5 linked regions of the Sus scrofa genome follow. The protein of the gene in region 1 interacts with the protein of each later gene in a pairwise test. Links are inferred from orthologs where the notes say so. Each region holds a gene or a part of one and is shown in the gene's direction. Other genes may lie near its edges. The genes, in order: GCC1, CEP70, ATF4, CEP57 and ZNF276.

Evidence for each region.
Region 2: the proteins of GCC1 (region 1) and CEP70 interact in binary tests that used the Homo sapiens proteins (3 or more experiments, as listed by UniProt). The two-hybrid records come from large-scale screens. The link is inferred for Sus scrofa from reciprocal best matches to the Homo sapiens genes GCC1 and CEP70.
Region 3: the proteins of GCC1 (region 1) and ATF4 interact in binary tests that used the Homo sapiens proteins (3 or more experiments, as listed by UniProt). The two-hybrid records come from large-scale screens. The link is inferred for Sus scrofa from reciprocal best matches to the Homo sapiens genes GCC1 and ATF4.
Region 4: the proteins of GCC1 (region 1) and CEP57 interact in binary tests that used the Homo sapiens proteins (3 or more experiments, as listed by UniProt). The two-hybrid records come from large-scale screens. The link is inferred for Sus scrofa from reciprocal best matches to the Homo sapiens genes GCC1 and CEP57.
Region 5: the proteins of GCC1 (region 1) and ZNF276 interact in binary tests that used the Homo sapiens proteins (3 or more experiments, as listed by UniProt). The two-hybrid records come from large-scale screens. The link is inferred for Sus scrofa from reciprocal best matches to the Homo sapiens genes GCC1 and ZNF276.

The regions. Positions count from the first base shown.
Region 1 is NC_010460.4:20,699,401-20,705,537, forward strand, and holds the start of GCC1 (GRIP and coiled-coil domain-containing protein 1), read left to right. Parts: upstream 1-2,284; 5' UTR 2,285-2,707; coding exon 2,708-3,739; intron 3,740-5,601; coding exon 5,602-6,137. UniProt on the Homo sapiens protein: Probably involved in maintaining Golgi structure.
Region 2 is NC_010455.5:79,354,803-79,360,198, reverse strand, and holds part of CEP70 (centrosomal protein of 70 kDa), read left to right. Parts: intron 1-111; coding exon 112-237; intron 238-2,587; coding exon 2,588-2,678; intron 2,679-2,802; coding exon 2,803-2,926; intron 2,927-3,225; coding exon 3,226-3,406; intron 3,407-5,396.
Region 3 is NC_010447.5:8,742,058-8,748,082, reverse strand, and holds ATF4 (cyclic AMP-dependent transcription factor ATF-4), read left to right. Parts: upstream 1-2,330; 5' UTR 2,331-3,229; intron 3,230-3,801; 5' UTR 3,802-3,893; coding exon 3,894-4,119; intron 4,120-4,215; coding exon 4,216-5,075; 3' UTR 5,076-5,119; downstream 5,120-6,025. UniProt on the Homo sapiens protein: Transcription factor that binds the cAMP response element (CRE) (consensus: 5'-GTGACGT[AC][AG]-3') and displays two biological functions, as regulator of metabolic and redox processes under normal cellular conditions, and as master transcription factor during integrated stress response (ISR).
Region 4 is NC_010451.4:27,836,229-27,841,624, forward strand, and holds part of CEP57 (centrosomal protein of 57 kDa), read left to right. Parts: intron 1-618; coding exon 619-798; intron 799-1,163; coding exon 1,164-1,285; intron 1,286-4,716; coding exon 4,717-4,833; intron 4,834-5,396. UniProt on the Homo sapiens protein: Centrosomal protein which may be required for microtubule attachment to centrosomes. May act by forming ring-like structures around microtubules. Mediates nuclear translocation and mitogenic activity of the internalized growth factor FGF2, but that of FGF1.
Region 5 is NC_010448.4:309,495-315,477, reverse strand, and holds the start of ZNF276 (zinc finger protein 276), read left to right. Parts: upstream 1-2,057; 5' UTR 2,058-2,203; coding exon 2,204-2,411; intron 2,412-5,787; coding exon 5,788-5,983. Other genes in the region: VPS9D1 (VPS9 domain-containing protein 1), read right to left, coding at 304-379, 1,589-1,687. UniProt on the Homo sapiens protein: May be involved in transcriptional regulation.

The DNA.
Region 1 (6,137 bases):
AGCTCCTTCCTCAGTTTGAAAAGCGGAACCTGGATTTATTATTTTTTTTGGGGGGGGGTCTTTTTAGGGCCGCACCGGCGGCATGGAAGTCGAATCAAAGCTACAGCTGCAGGCCCATGCCACAGCCACAGCAACGCCAGATGGAGCTCTGTCTTCGACCTGTACCACAGCTCACAGCAACGTCGGATCCCGAGCGAGGCCAGGGATCCAACCTGCGTCCTCATGGATGCTAGTCAGATTCGTTTCTGTTGAGCCACGAAGGGAACTCCAACCTGCACCTTTAATGCATAGCTAGCTAGCATTTTGTAAGGCTGAAGAGCTTCATGAGCTATTTTCCCACTCACCTTAGCATCTGAGGGGAAATAGCAAGATAGGAATTAATTTAAATTTCTTTTATGGTGGAGACTGGGTCACCTAATATATGCTTAACAAATGCTGGCTGGATTGAATGGACTAACTGATTGCTCAGTGGAGCATGGACAGGTGTTTTTGCCTGTTCTGGATTCCCTTTGGGCTTCTAGAATCAATCCCTATGGACTGGACATGGTGAGGTGAGCTGGGAATCAGAGAACGTTCCTTCCTTCCTTCACTCATTAAACAAATATTTATTGAGTGCCATTGTTCCATGCCTCAGTTTGAATCTCAGTTCTGCATTTTTTTTTTTTGAGGGCTTAAATTCAACAATACTCACAACCTGTCATTTTCTCATCTATAAAAGGAGACTATCTGTCCCAAGTTACAGTGAAGAATGAGATGATAAGATAATGTACCTGAATTTTTGTTTGATGCAGCTGGATATTATCTGGGCCACCAAGAAACTGGGTCTGACCAGATTTCTAGTATCGGGCCCATCCTGACCCTCAGTCTGTAAAGAGAACAGATGTTAGGCACCAGGAATGAGTGAGTACCTGACTCTTTTTTACTCTGCATTCCTAAGAAGGCTTTTACAAGGTTGAAGAGCACATTTCAAAGAATCCAAATATAACAACACAGCTACTGGTGACCAAGTCAGATCAGTTCTACATCTTTAGCTCTTTTAATTAGCCTCTTTCATCCTTGTTGTCACTGCTCTATTTCACTACCATCTTATCCCCATGACTGAAAATAGCCTTCTATACCTCGGTTTCTCCACCTTGTCATACAAGATTTGATGATGCCACTCTTGTGATGAAAATCCTTTAGTGTCTTATTACCCAAGATAAAATCCAAATGCCTTAATTTGGGTCCTCATCTACTCTGCCAGCCCCATCTGTTGCCACCTCCTTCACAAAACCTAAGCTACTGCCTTGAAATGCTTCCCAGTGCTTCCCCGGGAGGACCCAGGCTCTCTGATGCCCTAGGAGTCCTTGTACGTTTTCCTCTCTGCCTGGAATGCTTCCCTCCTCTCCGGTTAGATGGGCAATCAGTATTCATCATTCAAATCTCAAAATAGTTCCCCTGAGAGGCTTGTCTCCTCTAAACAGGCCTCGCTCCTCTTAACTTCCATACCCCTTTGCATATAATTGTGTTTGCACATCTGGTTTCTCTCTAGATATGGGTTCCCTGAGGGCAAGACCTTCTCTCTCTCTCTTTTTTAAAATATATAATGATTTTTATTTCTTTTTCATTATAGCTGGTTTACAGTGTTCAAGACCTTATCTCTTCAAGGTGATCATCTAGCACAGCATTTGATATGTGGCGAGTGGGACTGATCTTGATAGGATTCTAAACTTACTGGCTGTGTGTGACTTTGGGAGTGTCACTTAACCTCTCTGTGCTTCAAGTTTCTCTATAAAATAGTGCTAATAATACCCATTCAGCAGAATTACTATAAAGACTAAACAGCAAAATTCCTGTGATCTTCCTGCAATATATTTGGCACTTAGGATGGACAGCGTGGCTATATATATTTCTCTCTGTTGAATAACCTCAGAACTCAGGAAGGATGCTAATAATTATTATACTGTACGCCTACTGGGTTCCAAATACTGTCCTCGAAAGGGTTGCCATTTTCATGGTCTAAATGGGAGTCTTAACTGTTGCTCTTTAGGGGCAAAAGTATTGAGCCCCCAAACATCGTCGTTTACCCGGGTTTTTGGTAAGGACGCGGTGCGACGTCGTCCTGGTCCCTCGCTAGGGCAAAATCAGGCGCCCTCACCAAACCAACATCACTCCTGGGTACCCGATTTTACTTGCTCTGCTCTAGCCAGGAGCAAACAGCTGGAGGCCCAGCTGAACGGCCTCCAGACCGCCGGCTGAACTAACCCCGCCCACCTCGCGCTCACTGGGGGCGGGGTCTGATGCGTCACGCTGTCGTCACTTCCAGCCGGACCCGGAAGCGCTGTTGACTCGTGGCTAGAGTTAGGAAGTCGGGATGCGGCTAAGCTCAGCTTAAACCGTCGGCTCCTGGTGCCGGCGGGGCACGGAGCGGCTCTGGAACAGTGGGGCCGAGCCCTGGCAGTGTGTTCCTCTGGTGAGCTTTGGCAGTCTGTTCCTCTAGGATAGGACCAGCCCCCACCCTCTTGTCAGGGATCTGGCGGACGCTTCTGCCTGGCTGCCCCGCCGCGCCCCACATTCGGTGTCGAACAGCTGTGAGGAGCAGATGTGCGGCCGGGGCGGGGGGGGGTGGGCAGTTCTCTCCCTGTCGCTCACAGCCCCCGCCAACATCTTCGTGACCCTCTCCCAGCCTGTCCGAACGCTGTCGTAGAGCAAGCCGTCCTGAACCGTCATGGAGAAGTTTGGGATGAATTTCGGGGGCGGCCCGAGCAAGAGGGACCTGCTGGAGACCATTGAGACGCAGAAGAAGCAGCTCCTCCAGTACCAGGCACGTCTCAAGGATGTAGTCCGCGCCTATAAAAGCCTGCTGAAAGAGAAAGAGGCGCTGGAGGCCAGCATTAAGGTGCTGTCGGTATCCCACGAGGCGGATGTGGGCCTTGCAGGTGTCCAGCCCCAAAGCCTCACCTTTCCCGACTCTGTGGATGATCGATGCTCCACTCATAGCGAAGACAGCACTGGGACCGCCACCAGCTTGGATACTGCCGCCAGTCTCACCAGTACCAAGGGTGAGTTTGGGGTTGAAGATGACAGACCGGCCTGTGGACCACCACCTCCAAAGTCCGAGGAGGCCAGCGGGTCAGAGAGCGGCGTTAGCAGTAGCAGTGGGGATGGACCGCCTGGAGGTGGTGAGGTGGACAAACGAGTGCACCAGCTAAAGACTCAGTTGGCTACTTTGACCAGCTCTTTGGCCACAGTCACCCAGGAGAAGTCCCGCATGGAAGCTTCTTATCTGGCTGACAAAAAGAAGATGAAACAGGACCTAGAGGATGCCAGTAAGAAGTTAGAGGAGGAGAGGGGCCGTCTGGAAGGAGAATTGAAGGGGCTGCAGGAGCAGGTAGCAGAAACCAAAGCCCGACTTATCACGCAACAGCATGATCGGGCCCAAGAGCAGAGTGACCATGCCCTGATGCTGCGTGAGCTCCAGAAACTGCTGCAGGAGGAGAGGACTCAGCGCCAGGACTTGGAGCTTCGGTTGGAAGAGACTCGAGAAGCTCTGGCTGGACAGGCCTATGCAGCCGGTCAGGTGGAAGGGTTTGAACTGCAGACCAAGCAGCTGACCCGTGAGGTGGAGGAGCTGAAAGGTGAGCTACAGGCTCTTCGAGATGAGAAGAATCGGCCGGACCCCCGACTGCAGGAGCTTCAGGAAGAGGCCGCTTGCCTTAAGAGCCATTTCCAGGCTCAGTTGCAGCAGGAAATGAGGAAGGTAATTATTAGTCATTTAGCCTGGGAAGTATTAGGGCTTTTTTTTTTTTTTTTTTTCCCTCCTTTGGTAGTTAGAATTAAGTGGCTACACTGTGGATTTTTTTTTTTTTTTTTTTTGCTTTTTAGGGCCACACCTGTGGCATATGGAGGTTCCCAGGCTAGGGGTCTAATCAGAGCTACAGCTGCTGGCCACAGCCACAGCAACTCGGGATCCCAGCTGCGTCTGTGACCTACACCACAGCTCACGGCAACGTTGGATCCTTAACCCCCTGAGTAAGGCCAGGGATTGAACCCACATTCTCATGGATCCTAGTAGGGTTCGTTAACCGCTGAGCCGCAAAGGGAACTCCATGCACTGTGGATTTTTGATGCCATTCAAAAAGTTTCACTTGTGAGTCCTGGGAAATCCTTTTCTGTGTGTGGTGGTGTTTTTCTTTTCCTTTCTTTTTTCTTTTTTTGGGCTGTGCTCGAGGCATGCAGAGGTTCCTGGGTGAAGGGATCAAACGTGAGCCACAGCAGTGATAATGCTGGATCCTTAACCACTAGGCCACCAGGAAACTCTGTCTGTGTGGTGTTGACAGTTTCTGCAGAATGTGCTTCCAACAGGATGTGGAGTTCCTGAGTGTAGGCTGGATTGGAGCCAGATAGCGCTGAGCGTCTGGGCATTGGCATCTTACCAGCTCTGCTCTTTGAAGCAGTGCAGTGGCAGCTGCGCAGTGAACGATAAGAGTGTAGCAGTGTATAGGTAGCAGTGTATGGCTTTAGGTAGGGTGGCTGAAGGGGGTAAAGGGATTTTTTTCCAGAAGAGATCACCTCTTATATTGCTGGCAGTCAACATTTGCCTTTTCTGGAAAGGTATGCTGTTTTCCAATGTCTCCTTTCAGTGTGGGGAGAAATCCAAGTCAATTTTATTTTATTTTATTTTGTCTCTCTCTGTTTTTAGGGCCACACCCACAGCATATGGAGGTTCCCAGGTTAGGGGTCCAGTCAGAGCTGTAGCCACCAGCCTATGCCAGGGCCACAGCAGTGTGGGATCTGAGCCGAGTCTGTGACCTACACCACAGCTCATGGCAATGCCGGATCCTTAACCCACTGAGCGAGGCCAGGGATCGAACCTGTGTCCTCATGGATGCCAGTCAGGTTCGTTAACCACTGAGTCACGACAGGAACTCCCCAAGTCAATTTTGAACTTCCAGGAATATTGGAAAAGGAAAAGAATGTCATATGGTTTCTTCATGGGATTTGGGGAAGCACACTTTGTGGGAGCTTGGCCTATGGGAGGAGAAAGCAGAAATAATAAGCAAGGAGTTCCCATCGTGGCACAGTGGTTAACGAATCCGACTAGGAACCATGAGGTTGCGGGTTCGGTCCCTGCCCTTGCTCAGTGGGTTAATGATCCAGCGTTGCCGTGAGCTGTGGTGTAGGTTGCAGACGCAGCTCGGATCCCGCGTTGCTGTGGCTCTGGCGTAGGCCGGAGGCTACAGCTCTGATTCAACCTCTGGCCTGGGAACCTCCATATGCCGCGGGAGCGGCCCAAGAAATAGTAACAACAACAACAAAAGACAAAAAGACAAAAAAAAAAAAAAAAAAAAAAAAAAAGAAAGAAATAATAAGCAAGACAACAGCAGATCTACGAAGGTCCTTACTATTGTTTAGTACAATGTGTGTCTGGGAGCAGACCCCAAGCAGGTTATAGGAACTTGGGTTAGCTCCCAAATGAGAAGAAAACTTCCCAGTTCCCATTTTATCAGGCCACCCCCATCCCGTGACCCTTCTGCAGCACCTTCTCTTGCCTTCCCAGAGTTTGCCATCAGGCCTTGTGGCTTCTTTGGATGCACTTCCATCTGTTCCCTTGTTTTCCAGACAGCCCTGGCCGAGGATCAGCTACGCCAGCAGTCGCAGGTGGAAGAGCAGAGGGTGGCAGCCCTGGAAAATCAAATATCCGAGGTGTCAGAACTGCTGGGCACCTATGAGAAAGCCAAGCAAAAAGACCAGCTGACCATCCAGAAGCTGAAGGAGCGCATTCTGCAGCTGGACCTGGAGAACAGGACGCTGGCGCTGGCGGCCTCCAGCCGGTCCCCTCTGGACAGCCATGGAGAGGAGTCCAGTCTGGATGTCAATGTCCTAAAGGACAAGATGGAGAAGCTGAAGAAGCTGCTGCAGGTCGCAGCCCGGAAGAGCCAGGCGACCTTGGACGTGGAGAAGCTCTGCGACCTGGAGATAATGCCCAGCTCGGAGGCTGCCGACGGGGAGAAGGCTACGGCGCTCTACTACCAGCAGGAGCTGAAACAGCTGAAGGAGGAGTTTGAGAGGTACAAGGTGCGGGCTCAGGTCGTCCTCAAGAGCAAGAACACCAAAGACGGGAACCTGGGCAAGGAGCTGGAGGAAGCCCAGGAGCA
Region 2 (5,396 bases), on another chromosome or scaffold:
GTTTCTTAGAAGTTATAAGAGTTTGACACGGGAATGCTTAAATTGCCTATGAGTAGTAGGTTCTTTTCAATACCTTTTTCTTTTAATGCTCTTTTTTCTTTTTTAATTTAGGCAACTCACAATTTTTTATTGCCAGTCTTTATGTCTTTTGATTCTACAAAAGAAACTGTATCTACAGCAGCCCCTAAAGCCCAGGAATCCAGCAAATCATCAACCAGTGTCATGACTGAAAAACAGGTAAACTTGAAATATTTGAAACCAGTGTTTTTCATAGTATATGTCAAAGAATCCCACATTTACAAATGTGAAAAAACTTAATAAAGCCTTCTTTAATAAAATCATCTTGGGAAATGATGGGTTAAAGACTATTACATGATAGCAATATTCTAAGATTTCACAATACCATCAGTCTCCAAAAGCAGGCTTTAGTATATAGTATTTCCTACTTACTTAACACTAATCTGATGAATATTTCTGTAGACTGATGTTATGTAGCACATACTTTGGAAAATGCCATTCTCAACTACTTTCAGAATTTGGCAACAGTTATGTTATTCTTTCTATTTAAAGAGCTATCAGGGAACAATATGTGTAATTTGGTCATTCACAGTGCACAACATTATTTATAGAACATTTTGTTCTTACGAGTCATAGTAGACATCTACTTGTATATCCACACAGAGCTTTTGGCTCCTAAACATATAGCAGCAGTAATTGTAGTTGTGTGTCATTAATCTTTATGATTAGAAGATATAAATAAGGGAAAATGTTGTTTGGCACTGTGAGTCATAGTGCTATCAGAGAGTCATCAGAATAATTTTTTAAATTGAAGTATAGTTGATTTACAGTATTATGTTAGTTTCAGGTGTACAATGTAGTGAATCCGTTTTTTTTGTTTGTTTGTTTGTCTTTTAAGCTGTGTGCACGGCATATGGAAGTTCCCAGGCTAGAGGTCCTTAGAGCTGCAGCTGCCAGCCTACACCACAGCCATAGCAACTCCAGATCCGAGCCTCATCTGTGACCTACACCACAGCTCACGGCAATGCTGGATCCTTAACCCGCTAAGCGAGGCTGGGGATTGAACCTGCATCCTTGTGGATACTAGTCAGGTTCATTACCACTGAGCCACAACGGGAACTCATGAATTAGTGTTTTTATAGATTATACTTCATTAAAAGTTATTATAAGATAATAGCTATAATTCCATTGCTATATGATATATCCTTGTTGCTTATCTATCTTGGTACACTTTTAATGTCTGAGGGGCATATGGATGTGGAGAGTTGTAATACTTTTATTTGTACTTTCAAGAATTATCTAAATTTTTAAACTTAAAGCTATTGTAATATTTATATACTATACACTAGTAAAAGTGTATAAAATGTATCTTTAGGCATTTAAATAGATTGAAAATTCACTCAAATTACCTTTTCACAAATGTACTTATGTTATACCTATACTACATAAGATAGTTAAGGTATTTTAAAAAGCACACAAAATACTTCACACAGTGATTTCAAAATTGAGCTTTATACTTAAAGAGCCCATTATAAAAGTATTAATATCATGGATTTAAATGTGTCATTTTATTTTATTTTTATTTATTTATTTTTTGTCTTTTTGCCTTTTTCTAGGGTCGCTCCCGCGGCATATGGAGGTTCCCAGGCTAGGGGTCTAATCGGAGCTATAGCCGCTGGCCTACGCCAGAACCACAGCAACACCAGATCCTAGCCACATCTGCGCCCTACACCACAGCTCACAGCAACACCGGATCCTTAACCCACTGAGCAAGACCAGGAATCAAACCTGCAACCTCATGGTTCCTAGTTGGATTCATTAACCACTGAGCCATGACGGGAACTCCTAAGTGTGTCATTTTAAAAAGTCATTTCTGTTTCTGTTTTCAGCTGTATATCATATTCTTATTTTTTTTTCCCATTTTTAGGTTTTTATTTACTTAATCTAGAGAGTTAGAGTTCCCCTCTCAGGTTTATGGTATAAATACACATTTAGAATCAGAAATACAAATCTTGAGTGTCTTTCAGAATGATTCTACTATAATCATTACCTAGATGGTGAGGTTCCTTTTCATAAGTTAGACCTTGTCTACTCTACAAGGAACTGTTTAAATTATTGGCTCTGACCAGTCAGTTACAGTTTGATTTTCTTGGACCCTAGTCATTGTTGAGGTGACACTTGTTTCTGAGTGACTCACCCTTCCTTTACTATTCAGTTAAACTAAAACTGCAAATTAGATTGTATTATTTTGAGTGGGGCCTGGTCTGGTTCAGTTAAGTCAAAAACCTAAGGTCTGTTTGGTTCATTGAAATTACCAGTTTTTTTGTTTAATTTATCCACCAAAGCCTATATATAAGTATTCTGGAATTACATAATGTAATTATGTGTGCTTATTTGCATCCTTTTTGTTTGCCAATTTTGTTTTAATTTTAGTCATTATATGTGTATAAACGTTCATACTAAAGCTTTTGGAGAAAAAGTCTGTTATTCTGAAAACAAAGGAAATTATATATAAGAGAGTATTTCTTCACTTTAAGGTTGATTCATTTCTCTCTCCTTGTAATTGTAGCGGGAAGAAGAAGAATGGGAAAGCATAAATGTGCTGTTGATGACACATGGCTTGAAACCGTTATCTCTAGTTAAAAGAACAGATATGAAAGGTAATCAGATCTTAACTGTTTTTTAAGATTAAAAACATTTCTCTTTGCTTTAAAAATTTTTGATCTTAAAATTTTTTTCCTCACCTTTATCTTTACTATGTGTATTACATTTCAAAAAATGTAGATCTCATCATTTTTGACAAACAGTCATCACAAAGGATGAGAGAGAATTTAAAAACTTTGATGGAAGAAACATCACGTCAACAGAACATGATCCGGGAGCTCATAGAAACTAATACGCAGCTTAAGTAAGAAAATGGAAAAAAAAAATCTCTTGAATTGTTTCTGTTCAAGTGGTATGCATTCTAAACCCTTGAAAAGAATCTTGAAATTTAATTTTCCACTTTGGTTAAATATTAAGTTAAAAAGTATTTTTGAAAGGTAAGTAGGTCTTTTACTTAGCTTAGATATGTAATGGTTCCCTATATTTCTTCTGTTGGTTTGTGTTATAAGAAATTTTATAAACTCATTATGTTGTTAGATGGATATGTTTGTTGGAATGATTTATTTTTATTACTAAGAGAAGGAATTGTTTGTCTGTTATTAGAAATGAACTTCAGCTAGAACAGAGCCGAGCAGCAGATCAGGAACAACGAGCTAATGATTTGGAACAAATTATGGAGAGTGTGAAATCAAAAATTGGTGAAATGGAGGATGAATCTCTAAATAGGGTTTGCCAGCAACAGAATAAAATAGGAGAGCTTCAGAAGGAGCATAAAGCTTTGCAGGTACTGAGTTACGCATTTTCTTACAGGATTGTGTTGAAACAGCTTGTCAAGGTCATAGATGACTTCTATGTTGCTTAATTCAGTGGTCCTTATCTTACTTGACCTATCATTGTCGTTGCCTTGAAATTCTTTCTTTGCTTGGTTTCCAGAACATCCTCTCTTCTGGTTTTCGTCTGACCTCACTGGTTATTCTTCACCTTCTTTGCTGATTCTTCTCATCTTCCTAACCTCTTAGTGTTGAGATTTCACAATTCATTCCTTAGACCTTCTCTCTTTTCTATAAATTCTAACTCCTTTGGTGATGCTCAGTCTAACTCACAGCACCTTTAAATCTATAGCCCAGACTTCTTGTCTTAATTAGAGTCACATCCTTCATCATATTTGATATCTCTATTGGATGTTTAACAGGCACCTAGAACTTACATGTCTGAAACCGAGTTCCTGAATTTCCTCCTCAAACTTTCTTCTTTTGGTCTCCACTCTGGTCCAAGTCACCTTCATTTTTCTCCTATTTTGGTCTTAATACGATTTGGCATCATGTTACCTTCTGACTTTAATACTGTACCTCTTGCTTATTCTGCTCCAACCACATTGACATTCTTGCTTTTTTTTAGCATTCTCACCTCAGGGAATTTGTGGGGTGTTTTTTTGTTTTTGTTTTTGGCTTTTGTTTTTTGCTTTTTAGGGCAGTATATGGAAGTTCCCAGGCTAGGGGTCCAATTGGAGCTGCAGCTGCCAGCCTACACTACAGCCACAGCAATGCAGGATCTGAGCCTTGTCTGCGACCTACATCACAGCTCACGGCAACACCAGATCCTTAACCCGTTGAGCAAGGCCAGGGATCAAATCTGCATCCTCATGGATCCTAGTTGGGTTTGTTACCACTGAGCTACAGTGGGAACCCCAGTGTATGCTTTTTTAACAATTGCTGCATGGTTTGTAATTTCTTACTGAGGTGTTAGATCACCATCTCTCAGGGATTCCTTTTTTGACTACTCTACTTACATTTGGCACTCATATCAGCTGCATCTGTGACCTACACCACAGCTTGTGGCAACACCAGGTCCTTAACCCACTGAATGAGGCCAGGGATCAAACCTGCATACTCACAGACACTATGTCAGGCTCCTAACCCACTGAGTCACAATGGGAACTCTTTTGCAGACTAGTCATGTATTCCGTTCTATACCAGTCAATCTGTGCTTTCTTGAAGATGAAAGTGCTCCTGGAAAACAATTATGGTACAGCTTGAAGCATATTCTCTTTCCTTTTTTTTTTGTTTTTGTTTTTGTTTTTTTTTTGCTTTTTAGGACCATATCAGCAGCATATGGGAGGTTCCCGTGCTAGGGGTCTAATCGGAGCTGTAGTCACTGGCCTATGCCAGACCCACAGCAGTGCCAGATCTGAGCCTCGTTTGCGACTTACACCACAGGTCATGGTAACTCTGGATCCTTAACCCACTGAGCGAGGCCAGGGATCGAACCTCATGGTTCCTAGTCAGATTTGTTTCCACTGAGCCACGATGGGAACTCCATATTCTTCTTTTTTTTTTTTTTTTTTGGCATATGCTTCTTCCAATTTTAGAGTGGTTTAGTGCTGCATATTTTGCAGTTGAGAGAAAGGAAACATTGATTTTTGTATATATGTGGCTAAGAGATCAAGAAAAATAACATGTTTGACCATAAAAAGATTGTTATTGAGAGATTGCTGGGAAAATGCAGAAACTAAAAGACAACTTGTATTTGCAGTTTCTATGTTCTGCAGTGCAGTTTTCCTTTTTCTGTACTTAGACCAATGTGTTAATTTCTTTGGATATAGTTTGATAAACTTTTGGGCCCTCTAAAGTTCTAAGCAGCTAATTTTAGTTTTAAGTCAGTGTAATCAGATCAGAATGTCTGTCTTTCTTCTTTCTTCATAGGGAATATATGGATCAGGAAACTGATTTTTACTGTTCTTTTAGTGTTTACCTCAAATATTAAAATAAGCATTC
Region 3 (6,025 bases), on another chromosome or scaffold:
TTTTGCTCCCTTGCGCTCTATTCAGGTTGAGAGCTCAGATGGTTTTGACGAATCAGCTTCAGGATCAGAAGGCCCCGCAGAGGCCCCAGGAGGGTTGTGGAAGTAGGGAATCCCCTGTATCCCGATTGCTGCCAGTTGTGGCACATCTGAGACTGTGGCCCTGGCTGAGAACTTCTGTCCTCACAGGATGTGTTAGAACTCTGCCCCTTGTGCTGAAGCTCAAGGCCAAAGAGAATGGTAAGAAACACTTCAGACTAGAGCTGTGAGAAGTAGCCCTCTGAAATTTTTTTTGTCTTTGGGTGGAGGGCAGGCCCATAGCCTGCAGAAGTTCCCAGGCCAGGCCCAGGATCAAACCTGCACAGCAGCAGTGAGCTGAGCCACAGCTGTGACAACGCCAGATCCTTAACCTGCTGAGCCTCCAGATGCTGCTGATTCTAGGTGGCCAAATAACAAGAGATGTGGGGTCTGGAGTTAACTGCATGCAGCTTGTTTACCTTTTCCTTCTGATCGCCTCATAATCTGTATTTTCTTGGCCCCTGCAACCAAGTCCACAACCTGCCTCCCAGTCACTAATCTGCCCTTCAGTGAGCAGTTGATGTGTTTAGCTGATAGATTTGGAATCAGTCATCAGTCTTCCTTGTTTTGTCCATATAGAAGCAGCTTAGCCCCAAGACCCAGAAAACTACTATCCTTTTTCTCCTTGAGGGAGGAAATAAAGCTGGGGGACACGTTGCCCTTCCACAACCTGGAAAGAAAAGAAACGTCTCCTTTCCAACAGCTTTGACTCGTGTGTGTGGTGGGAAATAGTTTCCTACGTGAGTGGTACTGGTGCATCAGAGTGCTTGCTTGGGGTCTCCATAATAGAACGGATGGGGTTATTCCACTCCTACGGTGTCCAATTGGGGCAGTGTTACTTTACTTCTTAAGCATCTGCATGGACATCCATCAAGAGGCACTGACAAGTCTCCCATACAGCAGAGAGGAGGACATGCCCCGTGGCTCCTTAATGACACCTTTGGAAGACTTGGGTAGTGGCTCGGGGGTAGTGGCTCGGGATTCTTACTGTCTTTGCACCAAAAGACCAGATGCCTTGTACATGTTTCCAGAGAATTGAGATTCCCCAAGGGGAAAGAAAAACCATACCTAGTATCCAGTATGCTTTCCTAGACCAGCTGTTTATAGTTGTTGATTTCATCTCAGTAAATAACAGTCCTCTGAGGGAGCAGGATATGATGGGGATGGGAGGTGGGTTAGAAGACCTGCGTTCTAGTCACAGGAGTAATGGCAACCATTTATCCAGCACTTACCAGGTACCAGGCGCACGGCTCAGTGCTGTGAATATATTATCTTAACTTCATTCTAAGGATGAGGATACCCATCATTAGCCTCGTTTTACAGATCAGGAAACGAAGACTCAGTGGGGGTAAGTCACTTAACCAGAATGTCTCCACTAATAAATGGGAAAGCCAAGATTTTTTGGAATTGGCCCTTAAATCTGTCATAACTCCTACCCCATACTGCCCACACCAGGCAAGACATGTCATGCCTTTAGTCATCAGCTTACCACTGTAAAGAAATGGTTGGGCTAGACTGACTCAAATCAATGAATGGTTAGTTGTTATGTAGGAAGTGCCTGACCAATTTTTGACCTCACTGTCCTCATAGAAATAATATTTGTAGGGCCCACTGAAATGAAGGGGAGTGGAAACTCAAGGTTTCCCTACAGGGCCTGATTGGAGGACTGGAAGATGGTGAAAGAGCTTTCTCCTAGCTCTTGACAGTTCCCCAGTAGAGAGGGCAAGTTACTGGCCCTAACCTGGACTGTGGCCTCCAAACACACAAATTCCCCTAAGTGGGCAGGTCTGATCAAGCACCCAGGCAGTAGGACTTGCTGGGAAGTGGTTATGCCGCGGAGTTACAGAGTTGGTAAATAATTGAAACTACCCTAGAGTGAGAAAGAGCAGCTAAATAAAATACCTCATTTTTAGGGGAAGTGAAACTACATAAACTGAAAGAAGTTCCCCTGTCATAGGTTTCATTCTTTAACATAAAAGGAAACTTGTATTTTAGCAGAATGGATATGTAAAAATACAATTGTTTAGACCACAGGATTATGGATTTCCTCCACTCGACTCGCCTCTACAGAGTTGAGTCAGGACGCAGAGCAGGCCTTTGATGGTAGGTGGATCTCAGCTGAGGTCATCAGTCTCCCCTTCCAGTTACTGAAGGGTTCACACGTCCTCAGTATTCTGCAAGTGTGTGCAAGTGAAAACAGACGAAATAACATTTACTCTTGACTAGTTTCACATTCGGGCCTAAACCCGGTCCCTAGTTCGGAGCTTCTCCAAGGGCGGCAGGAAAGGACCACGAGGATTCGGACCTAACGCCACTATTTGGATCTGGGCCAGGGCTGCCCGGGGCAATCAAGGCCAGCTGGGTGGGCGGGGCTGAGGGAGCCTTTGCAGAGCGGCGCTACGGCGAGCAGGACGCCGGGGCCCGGCGGCGGGAACCTCACCCACCTTCCCGCGCAGATCAGGGGCTCCCTCGCTGAACAACCCGCCCGCCTCGGAGCCTGAGCCAATAGAAACTCGATGTATATATGACTCACCATGCCTAACCAATCATTTCGACGCGCGCTCTCCGCCAGTAGCTCGCGCGATAACCAGGAGACCTCGTACTTCACAATAAAAGCCCTTCTTGGGGTGAAAGACTCGTCTCCGCCTCTCGGGCTAGCACCGGAAGTAGCTGTGCAAGATCCTTCCGCGCATCCCGGCAGCGGACGGTGGTGATCCTTAGATCTCAAAAGCCTTGTAAAGTAGTGCGCCCTTTTTTGAGGCTGTAAATAAAAGTAACTCATTTGGTCCTCACAGTTTCGCCCTCGACATAAAAGTCAGAGACTGGAAATGGTAGGGGCGTCGGTTAAATGAAAGCGCGTGGGTGGGAGGCGCTGGTCACGTGACCTAGGCGGAAGAATATTCTCTGTGATGCGTCCCACAGAGGCAGAGTCTATAAAGGACCCGCGCTCGGCGAACCGCCGCCATTTCTTTTCCTCTCCGCTGTAGATGTAGTCCTTTTCTGCGAGTGGGCGCTTTTCTTCCTCCGCTCCCGCAGGGTCCGCGGCCGCCATGGCGTATTAGAGGCAGCAGTGCCTGCGGCAGCATTGGCCTTTGCAGCGGCGGCAGCAGCACCAGGCTCTGCAGCGGCACCCCCCAGCGGCTTAAGCCATGGCGTAAGTACCGGGGCCCGACGCTCTGGGCCGTGTCCCCCCGGGTCGGTGAAGGGTTCTTGTCTGATGCTGGGGCGCGGTCCGGCGGCGTCGCGGAGGGGGAAGCGGTTTTACGAGCGCCCGGGACGCGTGGCCGCTGATGGGGTGACGCCGAAGCGCCAGCGCCCCTGGGTCGAGAGGCCGCTGCGCTGTTCGGGCGTGGGGCGAAGTCCTCGGTACCTCCGGCCCCGGCCGGGGGGCCGGGGCTCCCCCTGGGGCTCCACGAAACGTGGCAGCAGCCAAGATGGCGGCGGGGCAGGGCGGCGGCCGCGGCGTGAGTCACGGGCGGGCGTGGGCGGGGCCGGACTCGGCCGGGAGGACCGGGCGCCTTCCTCTGGTGGCGGGTCGGGGAACGGCCGGGCGTCCATCTTGCGCCGCCAGGCGGACGCGGGGAAGGTTGGCAGCCGGGGCCAGCGGCCCCCAAGTCTCAACAACCACACGGGGTCGGGATTTGGCCGTCCTGCCCCGGGGGTGGAGAGGCGAAAGGCTCAGACCAGCTGTTCTCTAATGGGGCTTGGTTTCTGGTTCCTGTTAAGGCTTCTCACGGCATTCAGCAGCAGCGTTGCTGTAACCGACAAAGACACCTTCGAATTAAGCACATTCCTCGATTCCATCAAAACTCCGCAACATGGCCGAGATGAGCTTCCTGAGCAGCGAGGTGTTGGTGGGGGACTTGATGTCCCCCTTCGACCCGTCGGGTTTGGGGGCTGAAGAGAGCTTAGGGCTCTTAGACGAATATCTGGAGGTGGCCAAGCACTTCAAACCTCATGGGTTCTCCGGCGACAAAGCTAAGGCGGGCTCCTCCGAATGGCTGGCTGTGGATGGGTTGGTCAGTGCCTCAGACAACAGCAAGGGTGAGTGGGCTTTTCCCTGCCGGTGGGGTCTGGTGATAAAGCCTTGCTGCCGCGTGCATCTGACTCTGGGTTCCGTCCCTCTTAAATCTCTTGCAGAGGATGCTTTCTCCGGGACAGACTGGATGGTGGAGAAAATGGATCTGAAGGAGTTCGACTTCGATGCCCTGTTGGGTATAGATGACCTGGAAACCATGCCAGATGAGCTTTTGGCCACGTTGGATGACACATGTGATCTCTTTGACCCCCCACTCCAGGAGCCCCCGCAGATAGTGAACCCAATTGGCCATCTCCCAGAAAGTTTACCAACAACTGACCAGGTTGCCCCCTTTACGTTCTTGCAAACTCTTCCCCTTTCCCCAGGGGCCCTGTCTTCCACTCCAGATAATTCCTTTAGTTTAGAGATACAGGGTGAAGTGGAAATCTCGGAAGGAGATAGGAAGCCAGACTCCACTACTTACATTACCTTGATTCCTCAATGCATAAAGGAAGAGGATGCCCCCTCAGATAATGACAGTGGCATCTGTATGAGCCCTGACTCCTATCTGGGCTCTCCCCAGCACAGTCCCTCCACCTCCAGGGCCTCTCCAAGTAGGAGCTTGCTCTCTCCCGGGGCCCCTTGTGGTTCTGTCCGGCCCAAACCCTATGATCCTCCTGGAGAGAAGGTGGTAGCAGCAAAAGTAAAGGGTGAGAAACTAGATAAGAAGCTGAAGAAGATGGAGCAGAACAAGACAGCAGCCACTCGGTACCGCCAGAAGAAGAGGGCAGAGCAGGAGGCCCTCACTGGCGAATGTAAAGAGCTGGAAAAGAAGAACGAAGCTCTGAAAGAGAAGGCAGATTCCTTGGCCAAGGAGATTCAGTATCTCAAAGATCTGATAGAAGAGGTCCGCAAGGCACGGGGAAGAAACGCGCCCCCTAGCTGCCGGGCAGGGGTGTGCATGTGCTTGTACATAGGCTAGGGCTTTAGCTGTGTGTTGCAATAAATTATTTTGTAGTGAACGTACTGCTGATGACTGATTTCTTCAGATAAATGTTCCAGTCAATCCCCCCTGGAGCCACTTTTCTCACCAGGGTCAGAAGTAAAGTGCAAACGCTCCGTAATTCCCTCTGCCTCAACTCAGCAGACAATGGGGTGGGGGGGCAGGAGGAGGGGGTGTGGTGAGTTGAGAGCAGCCCTGGAAGTGACCTGCCCTCTTTGATGAGGCTCATGCCAGTCATTCATTGCCAATCTGGGTGACCCACTCTGGCTTAGAAGGAAGCCCTTTTGGGTTGCTGTGAGGGGCAGTGCAGGTGAGGGTGTCTGAAGCCAGAGTATGTGTGCATGCCTCTCCACAGGTCCCTGCAGCCAAGTCCTCCCCAGACCCAAAAGACGGGAGGCAGGGGCCTCTGCCGTTCACTTCCTGTGCCCCAGTGAGCTCACCTGGCCTCAGCTTCAGCACTTGCTGTTTTGCAAGGGTTTCCCGTTGGTTCCTCAACTCCTGCAAGGTTCCAGTGTCACTCCCAAGGCCATCCAAAGTGACTGCTGGTGTTCCGCCCCTCACCTTTCCCGCTCATTTGCCCCCCCATGGTCCTTTCTCCAGTTGACGTGTATACATGTTTATTTCCTGCTCTGACACCCAGTTTTGCAGTCACTTCGTGCCCTGATCTCCAAGACCTGCAGCAGTGCCTGAGGAAGAAATTGCAGCTTTATAACCATTTCCTGAGCGTTCCGAGGCACGGCTATGAATGTATGTTTACTGGAGTGAGACCCAGCCCCCTGCACGTGGAGCCCTGTGGGCTGATAAAGGGCAGAGGCGGGCTGGGTCTTACCGCTGGTGGCGGGGGTGGAGGTGGGGGTGCTCCTGGTCCATCGCCAGGCCCCTGCTGCCTTTCTGAGGACGCAGGTCTTGGAGGTCGGGAAATAGCCTTC
Region 4 (5,396 bases), on another chromosome or scaffold:
TGATCCTATTAGTAAAACCAGAAAGATGGATTGTTAATAATGTATTTCGGGACGGTTTTTGAATTTTATACAATTAGTTGAATGTTTTTAACATTTTATAAAATCTTTGAAGTGTTTTTACCATGGCATTGTGCTTTTTACTTTAGTAGCTAGCACATTTCAGAGACTCAAAAGATGCCCTTAAATGGATTTTTTAAGCAATTATCATGTGATAATAATTAACATTGTATTGTTCCCAAAGCATGAGCTCCACTGTACCCACCTGTCAATTTAATTTTTTTTTGTAGTCTCTTTAGGGCCGCACCCGTGGCATATGGCGGTTCCCGGGTTAGGAGTTGAATAGGAGCTGTAACCGCTGGCCTGTGCCAGCGGCCACAGCATCGTGGGATCCAAGCCGCGTCTGTGACCTACACCACAGCTCGTGGCAACACGGGGATCCTTAACCCACTGAGCGAGGCCAGAGGTCTAACCCTCCTCCTCATGAATGCTAGTCGGGTTCATTAACTTCTGAGCCACAGCAGGAACTCCTTAATTTTTATTTTGATGTTATTTGTTTTCAGTGAACTATATATAACAAACTATAAAATATCTTATAGTAGACATGTTTGTATTTGGCAGCTATATTTTCTGCTTTGAAGAATCTTCAAGATAAAATTCGACGTTTAGAACTTGAGAGGATTCAGGCAGAAGAAAGTGTGAAAACCTTGTCTAAAGAAACAATTGAATATAAGAAAGTACTGGATGAACAAATACAAGAAAGGGAGAATTCAAAGAATGAGGAATCGAAGCACAATCAAGGTTGGTTTAATTTTGAAGGAAATGAAACACTATCAAAACAATTATTTAAAATTATTCTGAAAGAAATTCCACATAGGGTTTTCTAGTGCTTAGTATCTGGAGGTTAATTTTATGGGTCATGATAAAATTACATTTTGCTCAGGTGCGTTTTGAGGAACAAGTGCTAATGTCCTGTGTTAGACTGACTGAATTCAGGGCAGATTGGACTAACATACAGAAACAGGCTTAGAGCATCTGAAAAGGGCTTCTAGAGCGCCTGGAAAATATTTGTTATATATGCTGTAGATTTATGTTAAACAGCTTGTTAAAACTAAAACTGTTCTCTGAGCAAACTAATTTCTGCTTTTCTTATGTATTCTTTTTAGAACTGACATCTCAGTTGTTAGCTGCAGAAAATAAATGTAATCTTTTAGAAAAACAATTGGAATACATGCGTAATATGATAAAGCATGCAGAAATGGAGAGGACGTCTGTATTAGAGAAACAGGTATGTCACTTCACAGAGTCAGTCTCAAGAACAATTAAAGAGAGGAGTTCCTGTCGTGGCTCAGTGGTTAACGAACCTGATTAGTCACCATGAGGCTGCAGGTTCAATCCCTGGCCTCGCTTAGTGGGTTAAGGATCCGGCGTTGCCATGAGCTGTGGTGTAGGTCGAAGACGCGGCTCGGATCCCGAGTTGCTGTGGCTGTGGTGTGGGCTGGCAGCTACAGCTCCGAATTCAACCCCTAACCTGGGAACCTCCATATGCCACCAGTACGGCCCTAAAAAGACAGACAAAAAAAAAAGAGAAATTAAAGAGAAAATTAATGTAAAGACATTTTTTTCTCAGTGAGGAGTAATACTGCTGTCATAAACAATTCTTCTATCTTAAAAGATAATAGTACCAATAGTTCATTTTGAAAAACTGCTAGTGGAAGCTTTGAGAAAAATGTGATTTTTTTCTTTAAGCAAAACTATGAAGAGGAGTTTCCTTTGGGGGAGCTCCTCACACGTACTGCCGTATTCTCTGCACTCAGCTTTGATAGCTTCTGCTTGTGAACAGTGTTGACAGCCCAGGACTGAAATTACTCGGGATCAGTTATGGTGTCCAAAAATTTGTTTTGTCTTCATTGTTATTGCTGTATTTGATAGAGTTTTACTTAGAGTTTTTACTAAACTATACATTTAGTTGTGTTTTCAAGTCATGATAAATTCTTTCATACATTATTAAAAGTGTAAATAAGCATGTTATGTACCTCTCTACCCCTTGAGTTTGTTAGACTCAGCACATTTCAGGGTGATTCATACTTTGAAAAAACTCTCTACAATTGTTATTTTAACAAAAATATTTTGCTGTTTTCACACCAGAGGTATTTTTATTTAACCTGCAATATCAGTCTCAAATATATTTTTAAAAGCATATCTCCTTTTCCTATTAGGAACCTAGAATTTGAATTCCTTATGAATATCCCAGTTTCTAGCCATCTTAACTTTATGATGCAAAAGTTGACTGTTTATATGCTTAACATTTCGCTGGATACCATGCAGTATGAAAGAAATTAAATGCTTTCCACCTCAGTCAACTTTGCATCATAGCTGGAGATGTTAGACCTAAAAGAACAGTGTGAATGATAGCACAAGAACATTTTAAGTAGATATTTCAATAATTAATTCTCATGTGTGCTACAGGTCTCTACTATGCCACTGAATTTATTTGTGATCATATTTTTTTGTTTCCAGTTGGGTCCTCTTCAGCCCATCTATTTTTGTTGTTATTTTAATGTACCATTAAACTTTGGTTTTTATTTCCTCCTTTTATCTCTTTGAACACTATAAAAATTCCCAGTCTTGGAGTTCCCCAGTGGCCCAGCAGTTAAGGATGCAGCATTGTTACTGCTATGGCTTGTTGTCACTGCTGAGGCTCAGGTTTGATCCCTGGCTCAGGAACTTCCTCGTGCCATGAATGCAGGGCCTCCCCCCACCCAAAAGAAATCCCAGTCGTCTTTAAATTAACTGATTTTTCTTATGAGAACTGTATATGTATGTTTACATATTTTTTATGATGAGCCCATATTCTTTGGAATTATTTATATTGGGAATTCCATTCTTCTAAGTTGAGTAGGCAGCCTTATAAAGTGATGGTAGATTTGCCTTTGCTGAGGATTTCTGGGTTTCCCTGCTTCTGATCTGCATTTATGATGCCTTTTGGCTTGAGATTCATGAATTGGGCAGATGGTACCTTGTGTGAGATTTATGTCATAGTCCTGGTATGCCTTATACAGCAAGGCTAGTTTTGCCTCATCTAGTATTTGGCTTCAGTATTTGTTCAGTTGCTTTTGAATTCTTTATTTATTTATTTTTTGTCTTTTTGAGGGCCATACCCGTGGCACATGGAGGTTCCCAGGCTTAGGGGTCCAATCAGAGCTGTAGCCGCCAGCCTACACCACAGCCACACCAGAACTAAGCCACGTCTGCGACCAACACCACAGCTCACAGCAACACCGGATCCTGAACCCACTGAGCAAGGCCAGGAATCGAACCCGCAACCTCATGGTTCCTAGTCTGATTCGTTTCTGCTGCACCATGAGGGGAACTTTATCTTTTTTCATCTGCAGGTTTCCCTTTCTTGTCTTCAGATTTCCTGTGTAATTATTATTTCTGTGTTTTGTCTAATATTTTATGTGATGGGATGGGAAAGCAGATGGTCAGCTCAGTCTGCCACATGATTGGAAATGGTAAAACATGATGTACAGTAATATAGCAGCTGTCTTCATGGGGATACTCCAGTTCTCAAGTTAGAAAGCATCCATGAGACAACAGTGAGATGTCTTGACTAACACATCTATTAAACATATATATGTCTTTGAACTAAGCCCTGTTTTCATCATTCTATTTTGAATAGCCTGTTTAATAAGAATACTGAAAGTAAAATATGATTTTTGCCAATTTTTAGCTTAATGTATTATTTTAAGGGCCGTATCTATCTACTAAGGTGATAGGGAATTAATAGTTCACATAAATTCCTGAGAAATTTATTGCTTTATATTACTTGTCATATTCAGATTTCTGTTAGTAGGATACCACTTGCTATAGACTTGCTGTATATGAGCTCACATGCTTAGTGTTTTGGCTTTTTACCAGTAGACCCCAATTTCACATATTTCCTCTTCTTATCCTAGTTTAATGGTATATTCTGTGACTATCAGTCCTTAAATCTGATAGGTTCCAGTCTTTTCAAATCATTGACTAAACCTAAAAAAAAATATGGTGGATGCTTTGCATAGAATTCAGAGGAAGGGGAATTCTTGTCGTGGCACAGTAGGTAACAAATCCAATTAGGAACCATGAGGTTGCGGGTTCAATCCCTGCCCTTGCTCAGTGGGTTACGATCTGGCGTTGCCGTGAGCTGTGGTGTAGGTCGCAAACGCGGCTCAGATCCCGCATTGCTATGGCTCTGGCGTAGGCCAACGGCTATGGCTCCAATTGGACCCCTAGCCTGGGAACCTCCATATGCTGTGGGAGCGGCCCAAGAAATGACAAAAAAAAAAAAAAAAAAAAAGAATTCAAAGAAAGTGTAAATGATAGATACTAGAACTGTAATTATTGCCTTAAGAGGTTAACTAATTAAGAGAACCAGACTACTTTTAAGTATTTGTGTGTAGCCTGCATATCTAGTAAATGCCCGCTGTCACAGAGCATCATGAGTCTCACTGCAAGAAACCAAATGTTATGAGAGGAATATCATAAGAATGGGATTGATTGCACTTGTATTTATTGGTGTTCCTGTGGTTTCATCTTAGTATTGTTTTCTTAGAATTCCTTTGTAGTATCTGAGTGATTCTATGAAAGGCCAGACAAATAGTGTACAGCATCGTACTCTCAGTGTTGGTTTTTCAGTTTTTTGTCAAATCATCATGCTGAATTTATATTGCTTCCTAGGTTTCCCTAGAAAGAGAACGGCAACATGATCAAACACATGTTCAAAACCAGCTTGAAAAATTGGATCTTCTTGAACAGGAGTATAACAAGCTTACCACAATGCAAGCCCTTGCAGAAGTCAGTGAAAATCTCTTGTACTCATCAGTGCATAATTTAGTTCTTTTGTAAAATCACTCATTGTATAATACTGGATATTTTATAGGGCAAAGAGCAACTTTGTAGCAAAGAAACATGTAGGATTTTTTAAAAAGAGGAAATGTTCATATTTTACAATCTTAATGTACATAAGGAAGGGGTTCTTTTTGAAAATGTTGACAGATTATGTCAACATTTGACAGAAAATGTTGTTGAAAATGTTTTTGAGTACCCTTAAGGCTTCTGTTCAAGTTATTCTCTGTACTAATTTTAGTTTTAGTTGAGCCATTTGAGAAGTACTTAATACCACTGAGACTATAAATTTCCAGATTCAGCTTCCATGTAGCCTGTATTCAGTCATAAAGAGCCGTGTTCTTTGGTCATAGATTTTACCCATAATTCTGTTGAATCACACTGGAGAGCCGTGGATGCTGGCAAGCCCAGAGCCATTACTAGAGTGAACTCACAGCATATAATTACTATGCTAAAACTTTATAACACATTTCTGTGTCTTATAGTAAAATTTTACAAGTAGACACTGAAAC
Region 5 (5,983 bases), on another chromosome or scaffold:
TCTCCAGCCTGGCACCCCCCCACCCCAGGGCCTCTGCTCAGACGCTGCCCCACCCCAGCCTCTGTGCAGCTCACTCCCTTCTGGACTGGGGTTCCGCATCCAGTCTTGCTTCCACCCCAGCCCATCTCCATCCTCTTAGTCACACTCAGGCTTCCTGAGCGCTCAGCCACCCAGCCTCGGCCAGTGACCAGGCAGGTAGGACACAGGACACGCCGTGGTGAGCCACAGACCCTGGGGCCCATCAAAGGCTAAGCCGTCCACCGTGTCCCTGGCCCAGGAGGAGCTGCAAGGTGGGCACTATACCTTTGGTGGCTTCCACTTCTTCCAGCAGCACCTGGGCGATATAGTGGACGCTCCTCAGGTATTCGGTATATGCCTCCTGTGCCCGGTGAAGGGAAGTGGCAGGGGTCAGGCCAGTGGAGGCAAAGAATTCCATCGTGCCTGCCCGGTGCCCTTGTGGAAACACAGGGAGAAGGGTGCCTGCCCTGGCTTCACGTGCTCAGCTGGCTGGCTGGTAACTGCTCACCCTGAGGCACAGAGTCCCCTCTTCTCGGGAGGTGACGCTGGCATCACTCCGTCATCTCCCACACAGGAAGGAACTCAGGCTCTCATTCAGTGGCCAGAGGAGGCAGTCTTGGCAGCTGCTGCATTTTTCACTCTGTGCCACAAGTTTTTTTCCTGTGCAGTTCAGGGGCCATTCATTCAGTGGGCTTAACAAAAATATTTCCTGGGAGGTGAATCAGGGAGTGATACTGCAAATCTCAATCATTTTCTGGCTTAGGTTCTGGGAAATCCCTTTTCTGAGCTCCAGAATAAGTACTTCCTGGGCATCCAGGGGTCTGGCACTTTCAAGTTCAGGGCTTCCTGACAGCTCACGCATGTAGAGCCAGAGCAGGGTGCTTTGTTTTGTTTTGTTGCATCCCGGTTCTTAAATTACCCACCTTTAGGTCTGCACCTTAGATATCAGGGTAACACGGATTGCTGGAAGGATTTCTGACTTGCGGGGACACTTGATGCCCTAGCATCCCAACTTACGGACAGCAGCGAATGGAAGCCGGTCCCAGGTACCCGCGGCCTCCTTCCCTCCTTGGGACGCCTGCTGTGGCTCGGCTGGCTGGCCCAGACGGTCGCCGCCTTTCGGATTAACACCTGTTCTTGGGGACCAGCCACACCCCTCCCCCGCTGGCATTTTCTTTCGAACAAGCCCTGAAGGCGACTGCAACGCCGCAGTTAACCTCTTTTGGATTCCGTCCCCTTTGGGAACCTGACTGATCTGCAAGGTCCGCCCCCAACAAACGCATATACGGGACTGCCTGCCAGAACACTCTGGCGGGGGCTGCCTCACCAACCCTCCTGGGTCCCCTTCACAAATGAAAGCGCTTCAGCTCCAATTCCCCCCTCGCCCAGCTGCCGGGAAAACAGGCCCGGAGCCGGCGGGAGCTGTCCAAGGTCACGGCCGAAGCCGAGCCGGCAACCCTGAGCCGCCGGAAGGGGCCTGGGGGCGCCCACCCCGCGGCCCCGCCCTCGCCCACGCCCACCGGGCCGGGGCGGGTCGGCGACCGCCCCCACCCCGCCCCACCCGCCTCACCCGGGGCCGGTTGCCGGTGTCCAGCTCGATGGCCCCGTTGGCCAGCTTCATGGCGCACTGCAGGGGCTTCACCGCGCCGTCCCCGGCCGCAGCGGCCATGGCGCCGGCGGGAGAGGCGGCGGCTGCGGCCGCGGCCGAGGGGCGGGGCCGGGGGCCCGGGGCCCGGAACGCCAGACGCGCGGGCGCAGGCTCCGCCCGAGCCCCGGACCGCCGGAAGAAGCGGCACCGTCGCGGGCGCACTTCCGGCGGCCCCGCCCGCGGCGCGCTGCGAGGTCGGCTCCTGGGGCCGAAGGGGAGGAGGCGCGGGCGGCGGAGCTCTCAGAGAGCTTCGCGCCGTCGCCGAGGGCGTCTGAGTGCCCCCGGCCGGCGGAGACGGGCTCGCCGCGCAGGCCCCGCCCCTTGGCCGCCGCGCTCGGCCCGGCCCCGCTGTCCTCCCCCCGCCCCTCCCGCGTCGCCCCGCCCCTTCCAGGGAGCCGGGCGCTGGGGAACGGAAACAGGCGAGCACCGTCCAGCGGGGCGGACGGGAGGCTCCGGGCCGAGCCACCCCGAGCCCTGCCTCGCAAACAGGCCGGCTGAGCGAGCGGGCCCGAGCGCCGGGGCCGGGCCCCAGCAGCCATGAAACGGGACCGGCTCGGCCGCTTCCTGTCGTCCGGGCAGCGCGGGAGCACCGGCGGCAGCAGCTATGGCGGTGGCCGGGCCCGGGGCCGCCCCGCCCGCAGCGGGCCGACCGTGGCCGAGGCGGCGGCTTTGGTGGCGGCGCGGCTGAGCTGGGGCCCCGCGCGGGCCTGCGCGGACGCGGGCGAGGACGGCGCCGACGAGGCAGGTGGGTCCTGCCTGCCGGGCTTGAGGGGCGGTGGGGCCTCAGCGCCCCCCCCCCCCCGCCCCGGCCCAGGGTGTCCCCGCTCCTCAGAGAGCGGGCGGGGCCCCCCCTGCCGAGGCGTGGGGGCGGCCTCCCCGGCGGACGCGGTAGCCTCCGCGGGGAGAAGTTTCGCAAGACAGCTGACCCTCGGCGCCGACTCTGGGCGCGCTGAGTAATTGGTGCTCGAAGGAGCCGTCGGGCAGGTCCGAGTTTCACTCCTGGTTTGCCCCGTGCTGTGCAGCCTTGAGAAAATTGCTTCATCTGTAGGGGCCTCAGCTTCCTCTTCATCGAAGCAGAACTAAGAGTGCCGGGTTCCCTGCCTGGCAGGTGGTACGGGCGTTAAAATGTACTTGGCCTGCGTGTGGTACTTTTGCCCCTGGAGAAGGGCTTTTGCTGCGCGCATTTAATCCTCCCGGGGGGCAGGTGGCATCGCCTGCACTCGCAGACAGGACACCTGGGGAAGCAGAGCTGCACGGGCGTCCTCACGTCTGGTCGCAGGAGGGTCGTGTGAGGAGGGAGAAGTTTTCAGCTTAGTTTATGAAGTTCCGTAACCATGGAGGCATTTATTTACTCAAGAAATATGTACTTATTTTTTGTAAAAAAATGTTGAGGTCTAATTGCCATAAAACATGGTAGTGGTTGCAGGTGTACAATGTAATTGATGTTGTATTTGTGCATGTGGTGAAATGACCATAATGTGTCTAGTTAACACCCATCACCACGTGTGATTCCAAGTTTGTTTTCTTCTGATGAGAACTTTTAGAATCTGCTTTTTTTTCTTTTGTTTTTTAGGGCGTCACCTGTGGCGTATGGAAGTTCCCAGGCTAGGGGTCCACTTGGAGTGTGCTGCCGACCTGCATCACAGCCAAAGCAAGACGGGATCTGAGTCTGGTCTGCGACCTACGCTGCAGCTCATGGCAACACCGCATCCTTAACCCACTGAGCAAGGCCAGGAATTGAACCCGAGTCCTCGTGGATGCTAGTTAGGCTCGCTTCCTCTGAGCGCCAACGGGAACTCCTTTTAACTTTTTGAGGAGTCTCCCTACTGCTTTCCATAGTGGTTATACTGGTTTAGCTGCCCACCAGCGGAGCGTGGGGCTCCCTTTTCTCCACGTTCTCACCTGCATGTTGCTACCTTCTGATGGCCCTTCTGACGGGTGTGACGTGGTAGCTGATGGCGGTTTTGGTTTGCATTTCCTTGACGATTAGGGATGTTGAGCATCTTTTCATATGTCTGCCTTCTTTGGAAGAGTGTATATTCAGATACTCTGCTCGTTTTTAAATTAGATGCTTTGTGTTTTGCTGTTGAGTCCTGGGAGTTCTTCACCTGGGCTGGATATTAACCCTCATCAGGTGTACGACTGGTCAGTAGTCTCTCCTGTTCGGTGGGTTGCCCTTCAGTTTGGGGATGCTTTTCTGTGCTGTGCCGCGGCGGCCCCATTGGTTTCTTCTTGCCTGTGGTGTCAGTTCAAAAAATCACCCCGTGACGGATGTCAAGAGTTGCCCTGTTATTTTCTTCTGGGGGTTTAGGGTTTCCTGTATCTCACGTCCTTCATCCCCCTTGAGTTGCAGTGTGGTGGTAGAGTGGTCTGGCTGCACTTTCTGCACGCAGCTGTCCAGCGTTCCCAGCATCACTTACTAAAGAGACTAGTCTTTCCCCGTTGAATGTTGTTGGCGCCTTTATCATAAATCAATTGACTATATATATATACATGAATTTATTTATTTATGTATTTATTTTTAATATATTTTTAAATTTTCCCACTGTACAGCAAGGGGGTCAGGTTATCTTTACATGTATACATTACAATTACATTTTTTCCCCCACATGAATTTATTTTTTAACTGTTTTTTTTTTTGCCTGTGGCCATGGCATGCACAAGTTCCCAGGCCAGGGAGTGACAGTGCCAGATCCTTCACCCACTAGGGCACCAGGGAAGTACTCCATGAATTTGTTTCTGGGCCTTCTGTTCGGTTTCGTTAGTCTGAGTGTTTTTTGCCAGTCCCGTGCTGCTTTGATGACTGGAGGTTTATGAGATAGTTTATAGTTGAAACCAGGAAATGTGGTATTTCTGGCTCCTTTCTCTGGAAGGAAGAACTAGAAAGATCTTCTAGGTCTGGTTGCCTCTGTTTTTCTTGCACAGGATTGCTCTGGCTTTTCGGGGTCTTTTCTTGTTCTATGTACGTGTGAAGATTGTTCTGTTTCTGTGAAAAATACCACTAGGGTTTTGGTAGGATTGCATTCCACTTGTAGGTGGATTCGTAGGCTGTGGAACATCTGTCCGTTGTTCATCTCGTCAGCGTCCTACAGTTTCGGGTACAGATCTTCACCTCTTTGGTTAAACTTATTTCCAGACGCTTTATTCCTTTCTGTGGCCAGCCCATGGCACGTGGAGTTCCTGGATCCCTAACCCACTGTGCTAGGCCAGGGATCGAACCTGGATCCTGGGGCTGCGGAGACACTGCCAATCCCATTGTGCCACAGCAGGAACTCCAGTGATTTATTCTTTGTGTTCTCTTGATTTATGATAGTTTGTTATTAGTGTATGAGAAATCAGCTGACTTTTTTGTGTATTGGTTTTACATCCTACAGCTTTCCTGAATTAGTTTAACAGTTTTTTGGTGGCGTCTTCTATACATAATGTTATCTGCAAAGAGAGATAGTTTTACTTCTTTATGATTTGGGTGACTTTTTTCTTTTTCTTTCTCTTTTTCTTTCTCTTTTTCTTTCTTTTTTTTTTTTTTTTTTGCGATTTCTTTGGCCACTCCTGCGGCATATGGAGGTTCCCAGGCTAGGGGTCGAATCGGAGCCGTAGCCACCAGCCTCCACCAGAGCCACAGCAACGCAGGATCTGAGCTGTGTCTGCAGCTGACACCACAGCTCACAGCAGTGCCAGGTCCTTAACTCACTGAGCGAGGCCAGAGCTCGAACCTGCATCCTCGTGGAAGCCGGTAGAGTTCATTTCCACTGAGCTCCGACGGGAACTCCTGGCCTGTAGTTGTCTTTTCTTGTGGTTTCTTTGCTTGTCTGGCTTTGTTATAGCAGGGTAATACCGGCCTTGTCTTGGAGTGTTTAGAATGCACCGGAAGGTTTTCTGGACCTAAAGGCCCTCCCTGGCCATGTCTCCCAAAGGATGTATATTTAGCTGGGAGCTCGGAAGCGGTCTGCCTCTGGCCCAGACATGGACCAGAAACTTGTGTTTAAGGGGCATGGAGGCCCCACTCCAGGAGCTGAGTGGCTGGAGGAGCCTGGGCCTCACCTGCCCTGGGAGCCGCGTTCTGCCTGCTCTGGGCAGCAGGCAGCCTCCCCGCTGACTTCATGTTTCCTGTGCTTGCCCAGGAACAGCCCGGGCCCTGGCCATGGGCCACTGTCGCCTCTGCCACGGGAAGTTCTCCTCCCGGAGTCTGCGCAGCATCTCCGGCAGGGCACCTGGGGAGAGCTCCGAGAGACCACCCCCCGGGGAGCGTGTTTTCGTCAGGGACTTCCAGCGTCTGCTGGGGGTGGCTGTCCTCCAGGACCCAGCTCTGTCTCAGTT